Linked DNA regions of Caenorhabditis elegans. The protein of the gene in region 2 interacts with the protein of the main gene of each other region in a pairwise test. Each region holds a gene or a part of one and is shown on either strand. Other genes may lie near its edges.

Evidence for each region.
Region 1: the proteins of perm-4 (region 2) and lrx-1 interact in a two-hybrid assay, tested with the Caenorhabditis elegans proteins (one large-scale study listed by BioGRID).

The regions. Positions count from the first base shown.
Region 1 is NC_003283.11:12,251,032-12,259,295, forward strand, and holds lrx-1 (LRP X(cross)-hybridizing), read left to right. Parts: upstream 1-1,653; 5' UTR 1,654-1,746; coding exon 1,747-1,833; intron 1,834-2,330; coding exon 2,331-2,435; intron 2,436-2,517; coding exon 2,518-2,802; intron 2,803-2,984; coding exon 2,985-3,114; intron 3,115-3,314; coding exon 3,315-3,440; intron 3,441-3,487; coding exon 3,488-3,622; intron 3,623-3,668; coding exon 3,669-3,785; intron 3,786-4,241; coding exon 4,242-4,363; 3' UTR 4,364-4,419; downstream 4,420-8,264. Other genes in the region: rad-50 (Zinc-hook domain-containing protein), read left to right, coding at 1-28; T04H1.5 (G patch domain-containing protein 11), read left to right, coding at 316-490, 541-1,096, 1,180-1,318; T04H1.12 (Activin_recp domain-containing protein), read left to right, coding at 4,612-4,798, 5,244-5,369, 5,635-5,684; Putative UDP-glucuronosyltransferase ugt-55, read left to right, coding at 5,672-5,833, 5,885-5,968, 6,018-6,348, 6,400-6,539, 6,586-6,714, 6,760-6,991, 7,236-7,461, 7,514-7,748; Putative UDP-glucuronosyltransferase ugt-56, read left to right, coding at 7,967-8,116.
Region 2 is NC_003282.8:1,119,097-1,128,173, forward strand, and holds perm-4 (PERMeable eggshell), read right to left. Parts: upstream 6,012-9,077; 5' UTR 5,990-6,011; coding exon 5,933-5,989; intron 5,876-5,932; coding exon 5,728-5,875; intron 4,568-5,727; coding exon 4,107-4,567; intron 2,816-4,106; coding exon 2,486-2,815; 3' UTR 2,398-2,485; downstream 1-2,397. Other genes in the region: perm-2 (uncharacterized protein), read left to right, coding at 7,705-7,788, 8,623-8,782, 8,833-9,068.

The DNA.
Region 1 (8,264 bases), on a different chromosome or scaffold from region 2:
AAGAGTTAATACGAAGAGACGGTTCTAGAATGGTATTGAAGAATCTCAATAGTACAAATAATATTTTACGGTCTCAAAATTGATTCGCTCACCTTTTAATTATGTTTTATGCTTTGTCAGATCATTCCCGAGTTTCCAAATGTTGTTACCTCATGTTTTATATTTTACGAGATGAACCCGATGCATCGGCCGATGTGAAATGAAAAATATTTTCTAACTGTTTCAATATTCTAATGCGTTTTTTGCTACGCTTTTGTTTCTTTCTTCTTGTTAAAAGCTAACCTTATTCATAAAAAATTTCGATTCAAGATCAGAATGTCTGACGATGAGGATGACTACATGTCTGCTGAAATTCTCCAAGGAGTTAGTGAACAACCAGTTGGAATTGCAAAATCTAGAGCTCACAAGCGAGAACTACAAATAAATTCAAGATTTGAAGAGTCCAGAGACACGTTTAAACCAAAAAGGCCAACTAGTCATGCTGAGCGAGGTTTGTAAATCGTAGTATATTATTTTTGTAGTTTACCAAATAAATTTCAGAAAAAGAACGTCGCGACGAGGCGCTCGCAAAACCGATTAGCCACGAATCGAAAGGATTTGCATTGATGGCAAAAATGGGATTCAAACCTGGTATGACATTGGGAAAGCAAAGAGAAGACGAAATTCGAATTACGGAACCAATTGGTGTCGATATCAAGGCTAATAGGAAGGGACTTGGGCACGAGGTTGAAGCAGTTCAAGAACGCAATGAACGAGTTGAGGCTGTAATGCAAAAAATGAAAGAACAAGCGGCAAAGCATGAAGAGCTGATCGATGACTATTCCAAACGGCGGAAGCTTGATGCCAACTCAAAGCAATTAGTCAAAGACATCAGATCTTGTCGAAAGGTGTGCGAAGAGTTGGATCATCGAATTGGAAAAAAAGTTCCCAGTGTTTCGTGGTTTTGGAGAAGTTATAAAGTTGCTCAAGAGGAAACTACATCTTACCATAAAAAAGTTGAAAAAGAAGATGAAGAATATAAGTACTCAAATGGTTTAGCAGCTCCAGAAGATCCGAATTATGATTTCACAATGTCAACGGAAATTTTAGAAGAAGCGTAAGTTTTTGTTTTGTAGATAAGGTTTCAATGAGCGTTATTTATCCAAACCGACAATAGTATTAAATATGCGTTTATTTCAGACTTTCCACTATCAACAATTATCTTCGAGATGGTCACTTCTATTGTATTTGGTGCGGAGCCAACTTTTCCTCGCCAGAAGATATGATCGAACATTGTCCTGGGAGCACTCGTCGAGCACATCATGGAGAAGATGAATAGATTAATTATTTTCATAAAATCTCAATTCTTGATGTATATACTATGAATCCTTTTTTATAACCAAGTTCGTGTCCTAACATCGTGTCACTTTTTTTTTTTGCTTTTTTGCTTCATTATTGTCTGCTCCTGTGTTGTTTCTCAAGGTGGGAACGTATCAAGTGACAAGTGACCACTAGTCAGTCAGCTTGAAGTGGCGATCAGTTGCCGCGCACCACCAGTAGCCCCCAACAGCGCGAAAAGCTTCTTTAGCGATAGAAAAGAACACAAACAATTGAAAAAGAAGAAAGTCCAGTGCACACACGACACTTGTGCTTCTTCAGCTACAGTCTTCAGTGGGCAGCAACATCAAGTTCCACCATCTTTATCATCTGCTCATCCATTCTCTCGATCTGTTCCGGTAAATTTGATTGCCAATCATTTTGCAAATCATGGCATGGTTAACGTCCATATTTTTCATTCTTCTAGCCGTTCAACCGGTTCTTCCACAGGATCTATATGGCACAGCAACTCAGCAGGTACAGTGAACTGTTCAAAAATTTGTAGCATTTGTTCTTATTTCTCTTTCTCAAAGTTTCTAATGCTTAGGGTCTCACCACGACCAAGATATTGTTCAAATGAAGGGCTCGCCAAGGGATTTGCACCTATAAGGAGTACTGTAGTTCAAGTTCAAGTTTTTTTTTCAATTTTTCCTCGTTCGTTCCGATTTTAATGCTTTATTTCTAACTATTTGTTTCGTATTTACATATAAATCGGTATGAGCTACAAGGAAAATATTTATGTAAAATCGAAAAAATTGTGAAATGAGTCGCACTACAGTACTATTTAAAATCACCGTATTTAAAATATTTCTGTCGTATCGAGACCTAATTTTGACAAAAAATCGCACAAAAAATCATTATGGTTTTAGGCAACATAAAGATTCCAATTGGATTCACAGACGATTTAAAAACTTAATTTTGAAAAAAATCAAAACAATCGTTTTTCTTTAGTGAATTGTATAAATATTTTCCAGCAGCCTTATCCATATGTACAACCTAGTGCTTCGTCTGGTTCTGGAGGCTACGTTCCAAATCCTCAATCAAGCATTCATACTGTTCAGCAGCCATATCCAAATATTGTAAGTTATAAAGGCTTGGGCCAGGGCCGAGGATAGGTCTATATTTGTTTACATTACCAGAATATCAAGAAACAATATTTAGGATGTAGTCGAACCAGATGTGGATAGTGTAGACATTTATGAAACTGAAGAACCTCAATTTAAAGTTGTGAACCCTGTATTTCCACTTGGTGGATCTGGAATCGTTGAACCTGGTACAATCCCACCACCAATGCCTCAAACTCAAGCTCCAGAAAAACCAGACAACAGCTATGCAATTAACTATTGTGATAAACGAGAATTCCCAGATGATGTACTAGCACAATATGGATTAGAAAGGATTGATTATTTTGTATACAACACTTCATGCTCTCATGTTTTCTTCCAGGTAATTTTTTGGAAATTATTTTTCTGAAATACAGAAATAGTTGAACAAATGTATAATTTAAAGTATTGAAACTTATCTTTATTGTATGCACGAAATAAGCTATTTTTATTTGTATGCTATCAATATTTATATTTCTACAGTCAATAGATTTCTGAAATTCCGAACTTCTTTCATATTTTCAGTGTTCAATTGGCCAGACTTTTCCTCTGGCGTGTATGTCCGAAGATCAAGCATTTGATAAGTCTACTGAAAATTGTAATCACAAGAATGCTATTAAATTCTGTCCAGAATACGATCATGTCATGCACTGTAGTAAGTCATTCAATTAAGAGTATGTATAAAATTTCATATGGCGTTGATGCACCATGAGGTGCGCTTGAAAGTTTGTAAATCTGCAATTTTCTGATTTTGATTTTATGGAAACTTAATTATTTCATCGATTTTTTCTCGAAATCTATAAAATATATTTATTTACAAAAAGCTCCAATATAAAATAGTGTTTGATATTGCAGCAATCAAAGACACCTGTACTGAAAATGAGTTTGCTTGTTGTGCAATGCCTCAATCCTGTATCCATGTGAGCAAACGTTGTGATGGTCACCCAGACTGTGCCGATGGGGAAGATGAGAACAATTGTCGTAAGTTACTCATTACAACAATTGCCAATTAAATTGAAAACCTTTAGCATCGTGTGCACGTGATGAGTTTGCATGTGTGAAGAGTGAACATTGTATTCCTGCAAACAAAAGATGTGACGGTGTGGCTGATGATTGTGAAGATGGATCGAATCTTGATGAAATTGGATGCAGTAAAAATACAAGTAATTTTTACTTTTTAAAATGTACTTTATAACAAAGTAATTAAAGCTTGTATTGGAAAGTTCGTCTGTGGAACATCGCGTGGAGGTGTTTCATGTGTGGATTTAGATATGCATTGTGATGGAAAGAAAGATTGTTTAAATGGAGAAGATGAAATGAATTGTAGTAAGTTTTTTTCTGCCTCCCTTCTTCTCACCCGGAAAACACCTCTGGAAAGTTATAAGTGGCGAAATAATGTACAGTACTTCCTCTAATAATATCGCATCCTACTATTTCACTTTAAAAGGTTATACCTCGGTTCAATTTAAAGATATTGAACATATTTTTCAATAAATAATTGACTGCAAACGATAGAAAAAAGTTTTCAAAAAATTGTCAAATGACAATTTTTAAATAGGAGAAAAGACAACTGAGATATTTAATTGTCAAAGTCTAACATTGGGAGTGCAACATTAATAGAAATACATACAATTTGGAATGTCTTTCTTAACTATAACCACACATTTTGGCACAACTTCAATGTGCGAACTTTTTCTTGTTCGAGACAAAAACATAGGAAAAAAAGTATTTTTAGCCAAGTGTCCAAATAAACACTGACGAATACTACACTTGTTATTTCAGAACAAGAAGGACGCCAAAAATATTTGCTCTGCGAGAATCAAAAACAATCAGTGACACGTCTACAATGGTGTAATGGAGAAACAGATTGTGCTGATGGATCTGATGAAAAATATTGTTACTAGATACTGCTGAACTTCTTGTCGATTTCCCTTAATTTATAAATAAATACATGAATGTCATTGCTTCTTGAAATATTCTTTCAAATTATTTGACAAAACGATTAGTTTCGCTTTGAAAATTTGACGGAAAAGAGGTCGAAAAGGGTGGGGACTGGTTATTTTTCAAGGTTTACTGTTTCTCTTTTTCTCTTCTTTTTGTTACTCTTACCCCTTTTCAACTTTGACACCGAAAGTCAACCAGTGTTAGACTCATGAGTATTTCCGTATATTCTGTTACTATTTTCACACTTTTGACATTACTTCCGTTAATATGTATATCACTGGAGTGCATCAACTCAACATCATACATGGACAGAGTTCTCGTCAAACCAATGAGCTCACATTGTCGTTTGAATAATGCACTTTGTGTGAAGACAATGCAAATTAGTCAGAATTCTGGTATGCACATATTTTTTGAAGTTGGAACTTTTAATATTGATCATTTCGTATTGACCGTCTCCGACTCAATATTTTTTGTTCCAACATTGATTAACTACCATTAACTGTCATTAAGTTCTGGTCCAAAAAATTGAATCAGAAGTTGGCAGAAGTTTGAACAAAGTTGAGCTAAAATTTTTAAAATTTTTGGCGCGCTCAAAACCAAATATTTCTTAAGTTTTACCAAAGTCTTGCCAATTTTTGAACAAATTATATAATTGGTCCAATACAAGGCTGATTTGAAAAAAATCTATCAATTTTGTTTGAAAAGTTTCGCAAAGTCAATTTCAATTTAAATAAATCCGAACTATCCTAATTCCGAATTTTATTTTTTATTGTCAGTGCACATGACCCCAGGGATAATCTAGATTCAAAGTTTATTGACTAATCCATTTTACCGTTCCAGATGGTTCACCAAAGGTATTATCTATTCATCGAGAGTGCTATGAACTTGAACCACCACAGGCTTATAGAGATGGTAGAGGATGTTTGGATTCATATGATGAAGATGATCCAATTTCTAGACGAATTGGTGAGAATAATACTTCATTACCACTTTTAGGGTCAAGGTTTCATAGATTTTTTGAGAGTAAACGTGTAGCTCTTTTTTCTTAAACTTTTGTTAAGTAATTTATGCAACTTTATTGAAAAGTCTCTCACTAATTCTTTCAAAACAAAAACAATTTTGTTACTCTACTGACGTGAAAACATTTAAATTGATTTCTATTTACCTGTCTATAAAACTAGAGACTGAAAATCAACAAGAGAAATAGACATTTAAACAAATCAACATTCAGGGCCACACTTGATCACGTGTTACTGTTCATCGGATTTATGCAACTTCTGACTTTACCCACTCTTATTTTTATTTTCTTGAATTATGGTACACCATGTCTTTCACTTCGAATTCTTGTATACTCTCCACGAATGATACCGAGCCATGTGGCATTTGTGGCAAATATAGCTAATCTTCTTGGTCAACGGGGCCACAATGTTGTAAGTTATTCGAAAAAAGTACAAATAAAAAATTAAAATTTCAAACTTCAGGTAGTTGTAGATAATGTGCTTCGCAGTGATATTTCAAACAAATTAGATTTGAAAGTTATTGAAAAGGTTGTAAAAGTTGAAACGGTCAGTTGACAGACAATTATAATGAACACAAATTTTATGACATTTTTAGTCGGCAAATGTTGCAAAATTGCTTGCTGATCAAAGTATTCCCATAAACTTTTGGAGTATGCGAAATGAACCAGAGGAACAGAAGAAGGTTATGAAACAATTGGGAATTATATTTTTAGAACAATGTAAATATTTGGTATCAAAAGAAGAAACCGTGTTTAATGAATTGAAACATTTGGAATTTGATTTTGGAATTCATGAAGTTTTTGATATTTGTGGAATTGGAATTTTTGAAAAACTGGGTATCCGAAAATCTGTGATATTGTCTTCAACTGGAATGAGAGATATTGTTAATGAAGCTCTTGGTATTTCGAGTCAATTGCAAGATGCTTGTGAGTTTTTTTGATCATCGAAAAATTGAAATCATGATAAAATTATTTCAGCGATTCTTTCTGATTATGGAAATAGTATTCCTTTCTATGGAATACGGAGAAATTTAAAATTTCATTCTGCCTGGAGAAACTTTTTTGAGGTACAGAGCAAGACGTTGGAGCCACTTTTTGAAACAACTAGCAGCTTTGAAGTAGGTTCACAGCAATTCTTTTTTTTTCAAAATGTTTTTGCTTTAGAATCTCCTCCGATTTAGCAATCTAATGTTTTTGAACACCCATGAGCTCGCAGATGCTCATCGACCATGGAGCAGGAGAGTTCATGAAATTGGAGGAATATCCTTTAAATTTCCAATGCCACTGAAAAACGTCAGTTTGTTTTTACGCGTTGAAAAATAAAACACAATTTTCCAGGAATATATCAATCTATTCAATAAATATAATTCCATAATCCTTGTGTCATTCGGAACTACAACACCTTCGTTTTTGATGCCCGAGAAATATAAAAATACGTTAATAAATACTTTCCAAAGGTTTCCTGACTTTCTTTTCATTTGGAAATATGAGAAAGACGACGAGTTCACACAGAAAAATAAGAAAGGGAATGTGGTTTTCAAGAAGTTTTTGCCTCAAGTTGATTTATTAGGTGAGATGCATAAATTTAGAAAAATTTGGTACGATTTTGTAGCCAAAGTAAGTTTTTATCTTCTTTTAGAATGTCCTGAAAAAATAAAATGATTTTTTGAACAAGAAAAGTCTGAAATTTTTCCAGGTAAAAAAACACAATCCAGATCGACTTTTCTAAATTTCATAGTGCTCCTTAACAGCTAAATTTTTTTGTGTTATTATATTTCAAAAACATAAGTAACTTTCGTTAAAAATATTTTCAGAATCAAGAAAAATCAAATTATTCATCACACATGGCGGTCAGAATAGTCTTCTTGAAACTTTTCATTCAAACACTCGTACTCTGATAACTCCCTTATTTGGTGATCAACACAGGAACGCTCAAATTGCATTGGAAAACGGATTGAGTCATGTTTTACTCAAAGATCAACTAGCGAATGAAGAATTGGTTTATGCAGCAATAAAACAAGGAACTGAAAGTAACAAAAAGTAAAATAAAATTGAAATTGTTTTAATTTTTGGAATGCAACTTATTTTACAGACTAGATGACAACTTGTTAAAATTATCTTCAAATTTGAAAAATGCGAAACAAACTTCCGAAAACCTTTTCCTGGATACTGTTGAATCTACATACACTGATAACTTATCGCCTCTTAACTTTGAGTTTTATCCAAAATTGTATTCCTCTGATCAAATTCTTTTATATTTAGACTCAATTGCCATGTTTACTCTGACATTGTTGACAATGATATTAATTAGAAAGTTTCTTCTATAAAATATTTTCATTCATGCTTCAATAATTATTTCGTCTCATAAATAATAATAATGGGGCACATTTCTAGAACTTAATAGCCAAAATCTGTTACTTTGGCTTCTCTCCGTGTTCCTTGATTTTAGAAACCTTATAACAGACAATTAGATTTAGAGCTCCGCCTAATCTATTCCATATAAATACCCGATGTGTTGCAAAAACAAGTACATTCAGGTGTCGAAATGTTGTGGGCTTTCATCGTTTGGCTCGGTGCTCTTTGCATTTATGGATCAGCTTTTGATATTCTGATTTATGCTCCACGAATGATGCAGAGTCATGTGTATTTCACGGCAAGGATTGCGAATGTGCTTGCAGCAAGAGGACACAAGGTGGTAGGTCAATTCAATTTATTTTGCACGTAGAACAAGTTATTTATGTAGGTAAAATTCTGATAAATATATTTGAGAAATAAGAGGAATTGTACTTACAAACAGGTAGTTGAAAGAAATACGACTTTTAAAGTAGATGACGGCAAAAAAT
Region 2 (9,077 bases):
AAAAAAACAAAACATTTCAAAAAAGTTACAATTTTTGGAATTGTCTTTTGGCTTTTATTCTTATAGCAGGTTTACAGAGCATATAGGCTTAGGCTTATGGGTAGGCTTAGGCTTAGCCATAGATTTAAGCTTAGGATTAGGCTTAGGCTTAGGCTCAGATTTTGTTTGAAAATTCTTATAACTTCCTAAGTTTTCAGAATTGAATATATGAACGAAAGATCAAGCTTCTGCTTTTAAAAAAATCGACTTAAAATATAAATTGTGAAAATTAAATTTGAAGAAATATAACTAATTTCATCAATCAAAACTCTATTTTCTGAAAATCACAGAACACAGGACAGAGTTCTATATTGAAGAATTATAAATCTAATCAGAAACCACCCAAAAAAATGTTTGGAAAAATCTAATTTTCTCAATTCAGAAGCTGATCTCTCTGCCCCCAACCCATTTTTTCGGGAGAGTTAAGCTCCAGAAAATCACTGAAATAAAAACAGGTGAAATTTAAATATAAAATACAGAGAGATAGTATATGACGCGTGAAAATAAAGTTTGCTTTTTTTCTGACGAACTCTATTGAAAAGTTCAAATTTATCGTAGAATTTCGCTTTTAGTACTGAAAAATAGTGAAATCTGAAATTTTCCGGTTTTCAAAAATATTTTATACCAGTGTTGTGTAGCTCTCGGCTCTCGGCGCAAGAGAGAAAAATTAGGATTTTTGCCAAAAATGTGGTGTGCACTCGCCGAGAGCCGACTTTCTTCAATAGTAACACAGGACTGTTACACAAAAACAGCAGGGAATTCAAATTTTTTATTGAAAATTTTGAGAAATGGAGTTCGAGCACAGAAAATTTGCTAACATCGAAATATTCTAGACTTAAAATTTTTTAAAGAAATTTTTGAATAGTCATTTCGAATTCTCCATCCCTCAATTAGTTTATTCCAGAAATGCCAGAGCGCTAGCTTAAAGTCCCGTCAAATTCGGTGCATTGGAGTACGGTAGACGGTGTTTGCGTATTTCCGGAGCCACAGTAACCAACTGGTTTGAAAATCAAGCTAAAACCGTGAGAAGTTATGTTGTTGAATGCAAAAATAAACGAGGAAATAGAGTTGATAATGTTTTCTAGGAATGAAAACAGATTGAGTTCTGGAAAATTGAGAAAACAATATATATTTTTACCGCACTTTCCACTACTACAGAGTTCTCGTATAATATAGTGTACTTCCGAAAACTAAAAGCTATAATTATTTGTCATAAAAAAATAATTCCTGGGAGTACGGTAGAAGCTACAGTAATCCAAAAAAAATCTTAAAAAAATGCTAGAAAATGAAAAATTTGAATTTGTTATTGTAATTTTTCGGAGGAAAAAAAAGTTAATTTGAGAACCCCCGGAAATCACTTTTTTTCGGAAAAAACCCGCTGCAAAAAACAATCTCAAAATTTTTGAAATATTTGTTTTTTCAATTTATTCGGGAGCTGCAGAGTGAGCTCATAGCTTTCCAACAGAGCGGAAATTAATTTTACTAGTCATTTTTTGCTACGTTGCGCATTATCTTTTGATTTTTTAGTGTACGTGACGCATCAATATTTGGAAATTTAACTTTTTTGAAAAAAAAAATGAAAAATCAAAGTTATTTCAAAAAATGTTTGCAAGATTTAATGATTAGGTAGCTTTAATTTCTGCATAGATTTTTAAGCCAAAAAAGTTTTTCTTTGATTTCTAGATTTCTCTAAAAATACAAAAACGCCGACTACCATATATGCCGGGACTTTTGAGTGAAAGATTTTTTTGTCATTAGAAAGTGCGAGGACCATAGGGCTTTTATGTAGGCGTTAAAATGCCTGCTACCTGATCTCCGCCTGCCCCTCGCTCAATTTCTGCACTAAATGCTTGGTGTTTATTCCACAAAGTGCGAAAGGTGGTTCTTTGGCCGCGACCGACACTATTCGGGTCGTGGTGCAAGGCAGGCAGAGGTCGCCGCAAGGCGGGCGCGGCAGGCGTTCAGGCGCCTACAGGGAAGCCCTAGCAGGCTCAAAAACTTTTTGGAATCTGGTCACTGGTTTTCGTGAAGCTTCTATGTATACATGAGGTTTTCTAAAGTCTGGAAAACAGCAAAAAAGTGTAGAAAAGTACGTGGGAAAATGTCAATTTTTTCTGAGAAAAAGGAGTTTTAACAAAATGATCTAGACCAGAGGTGGGAAAATATTTGATAGTATGTTGCGAGACTGCGAATGATTTGAAAGTTCAACAAGTGTCTAAGTTGCTAAAATTATCAAAAACTTTTACAAAAGTTAAATTTGAAGAGCTAAATTTTAAGAATGACAAATTTGGCAACTTCCAAAGTTGCCGGAAACTTCAAAAACTGGTAGTTTATTCCAAAATAGCTATGTAGCACAAAATTTCAGGAGAAGATATTTATTGGGTTGTGCAAAATCGAATTATATTTGAAAAATGTAAACAAAAAGGTCACTTGTAAGAAAATCGAATTAATAAGCATTGGAAGCAGCAACTGGAGCCGGCGTGGCCGCTGGTGGAGCATCATTGGCGGCTCCCCAAGTTGGAGCAGCAGTTGGAGCACCTCCCCAGGTTGGTGGAGCAGCTGGAGCAGCTCCCCATGATGTTGATGGAGCAGCTGGAGCAGCTCCCCATGATGTTGATGGAGCAGTATTCTCGGATTGCCAGAGGTCAACGAGTGGCTGGGAGGCTGACATTGGTGGGGACTGAGCAGCTACTGGTTGTGGCTGGACGAAGGCGTTGGCGTTGTTGTTGTAGCCAGTTGGTGGGGATTGAGCAGCATTGTTGTTGTAGGATGGGTTCTGGAAGAAAATTGAATTGCATAATAAATTTTCCCTCAAAGTTTTGAAATATGAGCTTCAAAATAACCTAAAAAACATTGAAAAATATCAAAAACTGGCAAAGTTAGGGGTTTTCAGAAATTGAAAAAAAAATTTCTTAGGAAATTTTCTTTAAAACTCAGTGGTACATAGGCTAAATTATCGATTTTTTTTTTGCAAAATTCAATAAAATCCCGATGAAATTTTCAGTTTGAGAAGATTTTTGGAGAGAATTTCAAAATTTTTGGAAAATTCGTAGCTTTTTCAGTTTTTGAGAGTTTTTGGTGATTTTTGTGTCAAATTGAAGCTAAACTTTTATATTTTTTAGGAAAAAATAATTTTTAATTTAATATCGTCTTAGAAAGGTTCAAAAACATGAAAAATTCCTCTCAAATTCCTTATTTTTCGAATTTCAAAATTTTGAGATTTTTCGAAAATCCATAGCATTCTTAGTTTTTGAGACTTTTGGATAAGTTTTGTGGCAAATTGAATATAAATTTTAAAATTTTACAAAAATTCATGTTTGGAGTGATGTATTCAGTAAAATAGCTGAAAAAAGTAGGCCTAATGCCAAATTCTCAAACTTTGGAATTTTCTAAAATTTTTCAAAAATCCAAAACTTTTTCAGTTTTTGAGATTTTTTAGTGAATTTAGTGTTAAATTAAAGCGGAAGTTTCAATTTTTATGGAAAAAACTAGTCTGAACGCTGAAAAACCATATTTTCTTCAAAACTAGACGCTTGAACTCGTCATATGGCTTAAATTTAGGGCTTCAAACTTCGAAATTCGGAGATTTTTTGAACATTCTCAACTTTCTTAGTTTTCAAGATTTTCTAGAGATTTTTGGGCCAAATTAAAGCTGAATTGTTAAATGTTGTAGTGAAATTGTTTTAGTTATATAAAAACTAAATTGTGGTAAAAACCAAAAAGAAAGTCATTGGTCCAAAATTAAAAGTTTTGTTAATTCTGACAGAAATTTGAAAATCTATAACTTTTTCAGTGTATGAGATTTTTCAGTGATTTTTTTGCCAAATTTAAAGTAAATTTTGAAATTATTTAAAAAGGATTAATTTTAAATTTTCAAAAAATTTACTGTCTTCAAAACTAGACTTTTAGACTCGTAGGCCAAAATCTTCAAATATCGAAATTCCGCGGTTTTTTGAAAATTTATAACTTCCTCATTTTTCAACATTTTTTTTGTAATTTTTGAGCCAGATTAAAGCAAAATCACTGAATTCCCAACAAAAAAAAATAGTCCTTAAAATATTCCCCACCTGAGCAGCTGGAGAGGATCTTGGAGCACAGCACACGCACTTGACATTCTTATGATATTTCTTTGGCTCCCAGTTGGCCTCTGACAAGTAGGTAGAGTCAACCTTATGGAATCTTCCACGTCCATGTTTTCCGTCCTTCTCATCAGAATCCGAATCATTATCATCATCATCATCAGCTCCTCTCTTGGATCTCTTGAATGTCTCATCATCATCATCCTTGGTAATAGCCAAGAATCCGAAGAGTTGATCGTTGGGAAGGGAAGTGTCACGACGGGCGGTCTGTTGGCAGCAGAAGTTACAGGAATCTTCATCATGGGTAGCAACTTCGGAGCACTTTACACGAACGGCACGATTAGCTGGGACGGATGGGGCTCCACCGTAGTATGGCTGTGGGTGGCGATGATGGCGGCGGACAGAGTCGACGACGAGGAGCACGGAGGCGTCGAGGTCGCATACGAAGCCTGTAAATATTTTTCATCTTAAAATTCAAAATTTCAGCTTCAATTTAACTTAAAAACTGATAAAATATCTCAAAAACTGGAAAAGTTGTAGATTTTCGAAAATTTTAGAAAAAAACCATTTTAGTTAATTTGACAAAAAAAATTCCTGACTCAAATCAGTTTGTTCTACAGAATTTTAAAAAATTGGCTCTAATTTTACAATAAATTCAATAAAAAATCTCGAAAACTAAAAAAGTTATGAATTTTCGAAAATGTTCAAAAATCTATTATATAACTTTCTCAATTTTCGAGATATTGGGATGGTTTTTGTGGTATTTTGAGGGTAAATTTTTGAATTTTCAAGAAAAATTAGTTTTCGATAAAAATTGTCGAAAAAATTTAATAGCAATAAAATTTGACTCTTCCAAAAAAAAAAGTCCAAAATTTCAAAAATTTTTGAAAATCTATAACTTTCTCAATTTTTGAGATTTTGGGATGGTTTTTGTGTCATTTTAAGGGTAAATTTTTGAATTTTGTATAAAAAATAATGGAAGCTATCGTAACCTAGGAAAAGTGTGTTTTCTACCGAATTTCAATTTCTTTCAAAATATAAAATTTAAGCTTCAATTTGGCATTAAACTCAATGAAATTTTTTGAAAATTGTAGCTTTTTTGAAATTCTGCACCAACTAGATTAAATTTAATCTAAATAAATACTACAGTAACGCAGTTAATTTTGCCAAAAAATTTAAAAAAAATTAATCTTTAATTTGACATAAAAATCAAACAATTATCTCAAAAACTGGAAAAGTTACAGGTTTTCAAACATTTTCAAAAATTCTAATTCTGATAAATTGGCCTAAGTTCTACAGATTTTTTGAAAAAAAAAAACAGTATTTTTGCAACAAAATTTGAAGAACTAGCTTAATTTTGATTTAAAAATTATTGAAAAATCTCGAAAACTGAGAAATTTATGAATTTTTCAAAATTTTTCGAAAATTTGAAAATTGACAAAACTACCTATGAATAAGTCAATTTTTTGATGATTCCCAAAAAATGTTACATTTTTGAAATAAGTTGGCTATTGCGGTTCAAACAAGTATAATCATAACTAGGTCTACGCAAATGCGCTCTATTGCCAAATTACTATAGCTCTTAAAATTTGAATTTTCACGAACTCACGATCTTGAATAAGTGGCTGCCAGTATCCTGGTCCGAATGCTGGGTATCCATATCCTCCTCCATTTCCATAACCTCCTCCTCCATACGATGGACGACCGCCGTAGCGACCAGCAGCGGCCTCTGACTTGACCTCTTCGGTGGGTGTTGGCTGCAGAAAATGTTTCAGATTATCCTAAAATTGCGGAAATCCAAAAAAACCATATACCTTTGCACCGAGGACGGCGGCCAGCGAGGCGACTGTGAGAAGAAGAACGGTTTTCATTTCTGAAAAGCGATCGAATGATGGATTTGTCGGCGGAGCCATGCTTTTATAGTTCGGGGGGAACATGGGATGGGCTCCGCCTACAGAAAAAAAAATCAAGAGGAAAAGCTTGAGGAAGATGAAAGTAGAAATGTCTGAGTTGATGGAACGGGGAAAAAAGAGGAAACATTGAAAAGATGATCGATAGATTTGCACCATATCTCGGCTAATTTTCAAGATATCAAAAAAATTGTAACTAGACAGTTATAGAAAAAGTAATAATAAATAACTTGCCAGTTGATAATTTTTTGATAAAACCAAAGGCTACGAAGATATGAACTGTTAAAGTTGATCAGTAAATTTTTCATCGATGCACCAAAAAGAAGGGAATCTGAAGCATAAATAATGCATGTAAAACCTACTGCCAAAATTTTACAATAAAACTACTCTCAATGCACCATAATCAGCATTTTTGTTCAGCAGCTCGTATCCCTCTTATGTATTTTTATAAATATCAATTTATTACAAAACTTTGTAAAACTATGTAATGCATATTTTACGTGTTTGCAATTTGCTCATTGATATGTAAATTGTTGAAATTTTATTGGCAAATCCATAGAGAAATCCATTAGGAACACTATAAATCACTCCAAAGCTTTCAATTCACAAGGAAAGGAAGTCAATCTAGTCCCGGACTTTGAATCAGGACATATGCCTTTGAAAGCTTATGTTTAGACTAGATCACCAAAAAAATTTCAGCGGCGGAACTCAACTCTGAACCCCTGAAAGCGCCATCTGAAAGTGCTCCAGTGCATTTTTTTGCTGAATTCTAGGTCAAGTAAATGGCCTTAAAAGTGGCTAGAGCGGTTAAAAATTGTTTTTGGGGGTCTTTAGGGTCAAACAAACAGTGTGGAAGCTTTTTGGAAATTTTTATTTTTTTCCAAAAATCTGAAATTTTTGCGGTGATCTAGGCTAACCATAAGCTTTCAAATGACATACGTCTCGATTCGAAGTCCGGGACTAGATTAACTTACTTTCCTTGTCAGACAAATTTTTCACATAATACGTTAATTATCTATTTCATGCCCAAATTCCAGGTATTTGCACATTTCTCCATTCTCATTCAATTGCACTTTCACCCATCACGAGTTGCTCCATATGAAATCATCTGAAATGTCTGAAATTCCAAGCCCACTCAATCATCCCATTTCTCATATAACATGTTGCAATCAGGTGGGCGGCGGCTGCGGCCGGCAGGAAAAAGAGCCCAGCGGAATGTGTGATGGATTGAGCAGCGAAGAAAAAAGAAAATGGAAAAGCTGAAAAAAATAGTCGGTCGAAAAAAAAGTGACCTAAGGATGTGTTGCAACATGTGTCTGAGATCCAGCGGGGTTCAAAGAACTAATTTGTGTATCTTTTAGCAAAGTGTATTTTGAGAAAATCAACACATTTTGAACTAGAACACTGTAGAAAAACTGTTAAGGAACATTTTTCCAGTTGATCAAGTCCGAGTGATTCACCATGTATTGGAGCCTTTTGACTTGTTGGCTCAGTTACCACAGCTGTGAGATTTAATTCCAGGTTCCGTAGCAAACATTTTTGCGCTCCAAACCTTTTTGTTTTTTATCCAACGCCTAACGTTTTCCCCTCAAACTACAATGCCGAGTTCCCGCCTCCATATCTCTGGCGGATCTCAAGTATAAAAGCGGCGAAGCATCTTGGCTCCGATCATCATCATGTTTTCCACCACTTGGATCGTCGCGTCTCTGGCACTTTGCGCCGCTGTCACCTGCGCTGTGAGCACCGAGGCTCCTGAGAAGGTAAGCGTTACTGTTGGTTCTGTTGGAACTAGGAAAAACGGACTGTAAGGTTACTGTAGCTTGATAGATAACTTGATTTAGACACGTTAAAAAGTAAAGCTGTTATAGATATTTGACTAAATCTTGATGTATTGTCAGTAGGTATAATTAGTTGTATTCAAGTTATTAAGATTAGGTTTATTCCGTATCACGTGTGCATTAGTATGTATCACGTAAGGGTTACCTATACTATATTGTGATATCCTAAATAGTAAGTCTAAATAAGATTACTTGCTAAGGTGTAACTTGAATCGGACAGAAAATTTAGAGGTAATAAGATTTCTTGATGAAATGCTATGTTGATTAAGCGTAGATATATTTAATAGAATTCAACTTATTAGGAAGGTTAGTATACATTTAACTAGTTTCTTTTACCTAGGTTCTGCTCCTGGAGTTACTGTGGCTAGATGTAGCTAGACCTTAAATATATGTACCTTAAATAGGATGTAGGTCTAATTCAAATTAAACACGTTACGAATATGGCACATTATTTAATCCGATACAAAGGTAATACTATAAGTAGGCATGTATATTGAATAGTATTCAGGGAGGTATATTAGGACTAATTAAATACTTTTGAGATTAAGTAGTAACTGTTAAATACTGAAAGTGTAATAATTGTTTAGCTTTTAATATTTACCATCATTCATTTGAAGTACTTGTTCTAGGTAGCTTACTATTAGTATAGGAACGTAATCAATACCTACCTTTGAATCTAGACTAGTTTAGAATTTAGTACTAGAAAAAAATTATCAGTAAGTATGAGCGAATAAAATTTTATGTCCAATTTTCCAGCAATCCGACGTCAAGGACGCCCCAGCTGGAGCTCACTATGGCGGTGGCTACGACAACGGACCATCCTACAACCAACCCCAATACCCAGTCTACCAGTTCCCAAACTTTGACGTCAACTATTGCTCTGTCCACGCTTCCTTCCCACTTGTCGGTCTTAGAAGTTAGTTTTAACAACTTTCCTACGGGTCCCGTTCACCTTAAAACTTCTAGAGCACCATCGCGGTCACCACAGAGGCGACCGCGTGAAGAGACAAGCCTACGGAACCCCAGCTCAAGATTCCAACTACAACAACAACCAGCAATACGATGCTCCAGCCTACGGACCATCCTTCATCCAGAGACCACGCCCGTTCGAGCGTCAGGCTTGCAGAAACACCGCCATCTACTCGCAGGAGTCGTGCCAGAACTGCTGCTCCATCTCGTCCCGTGCCGCTGGAAGCTCATCGGTTAGTGCG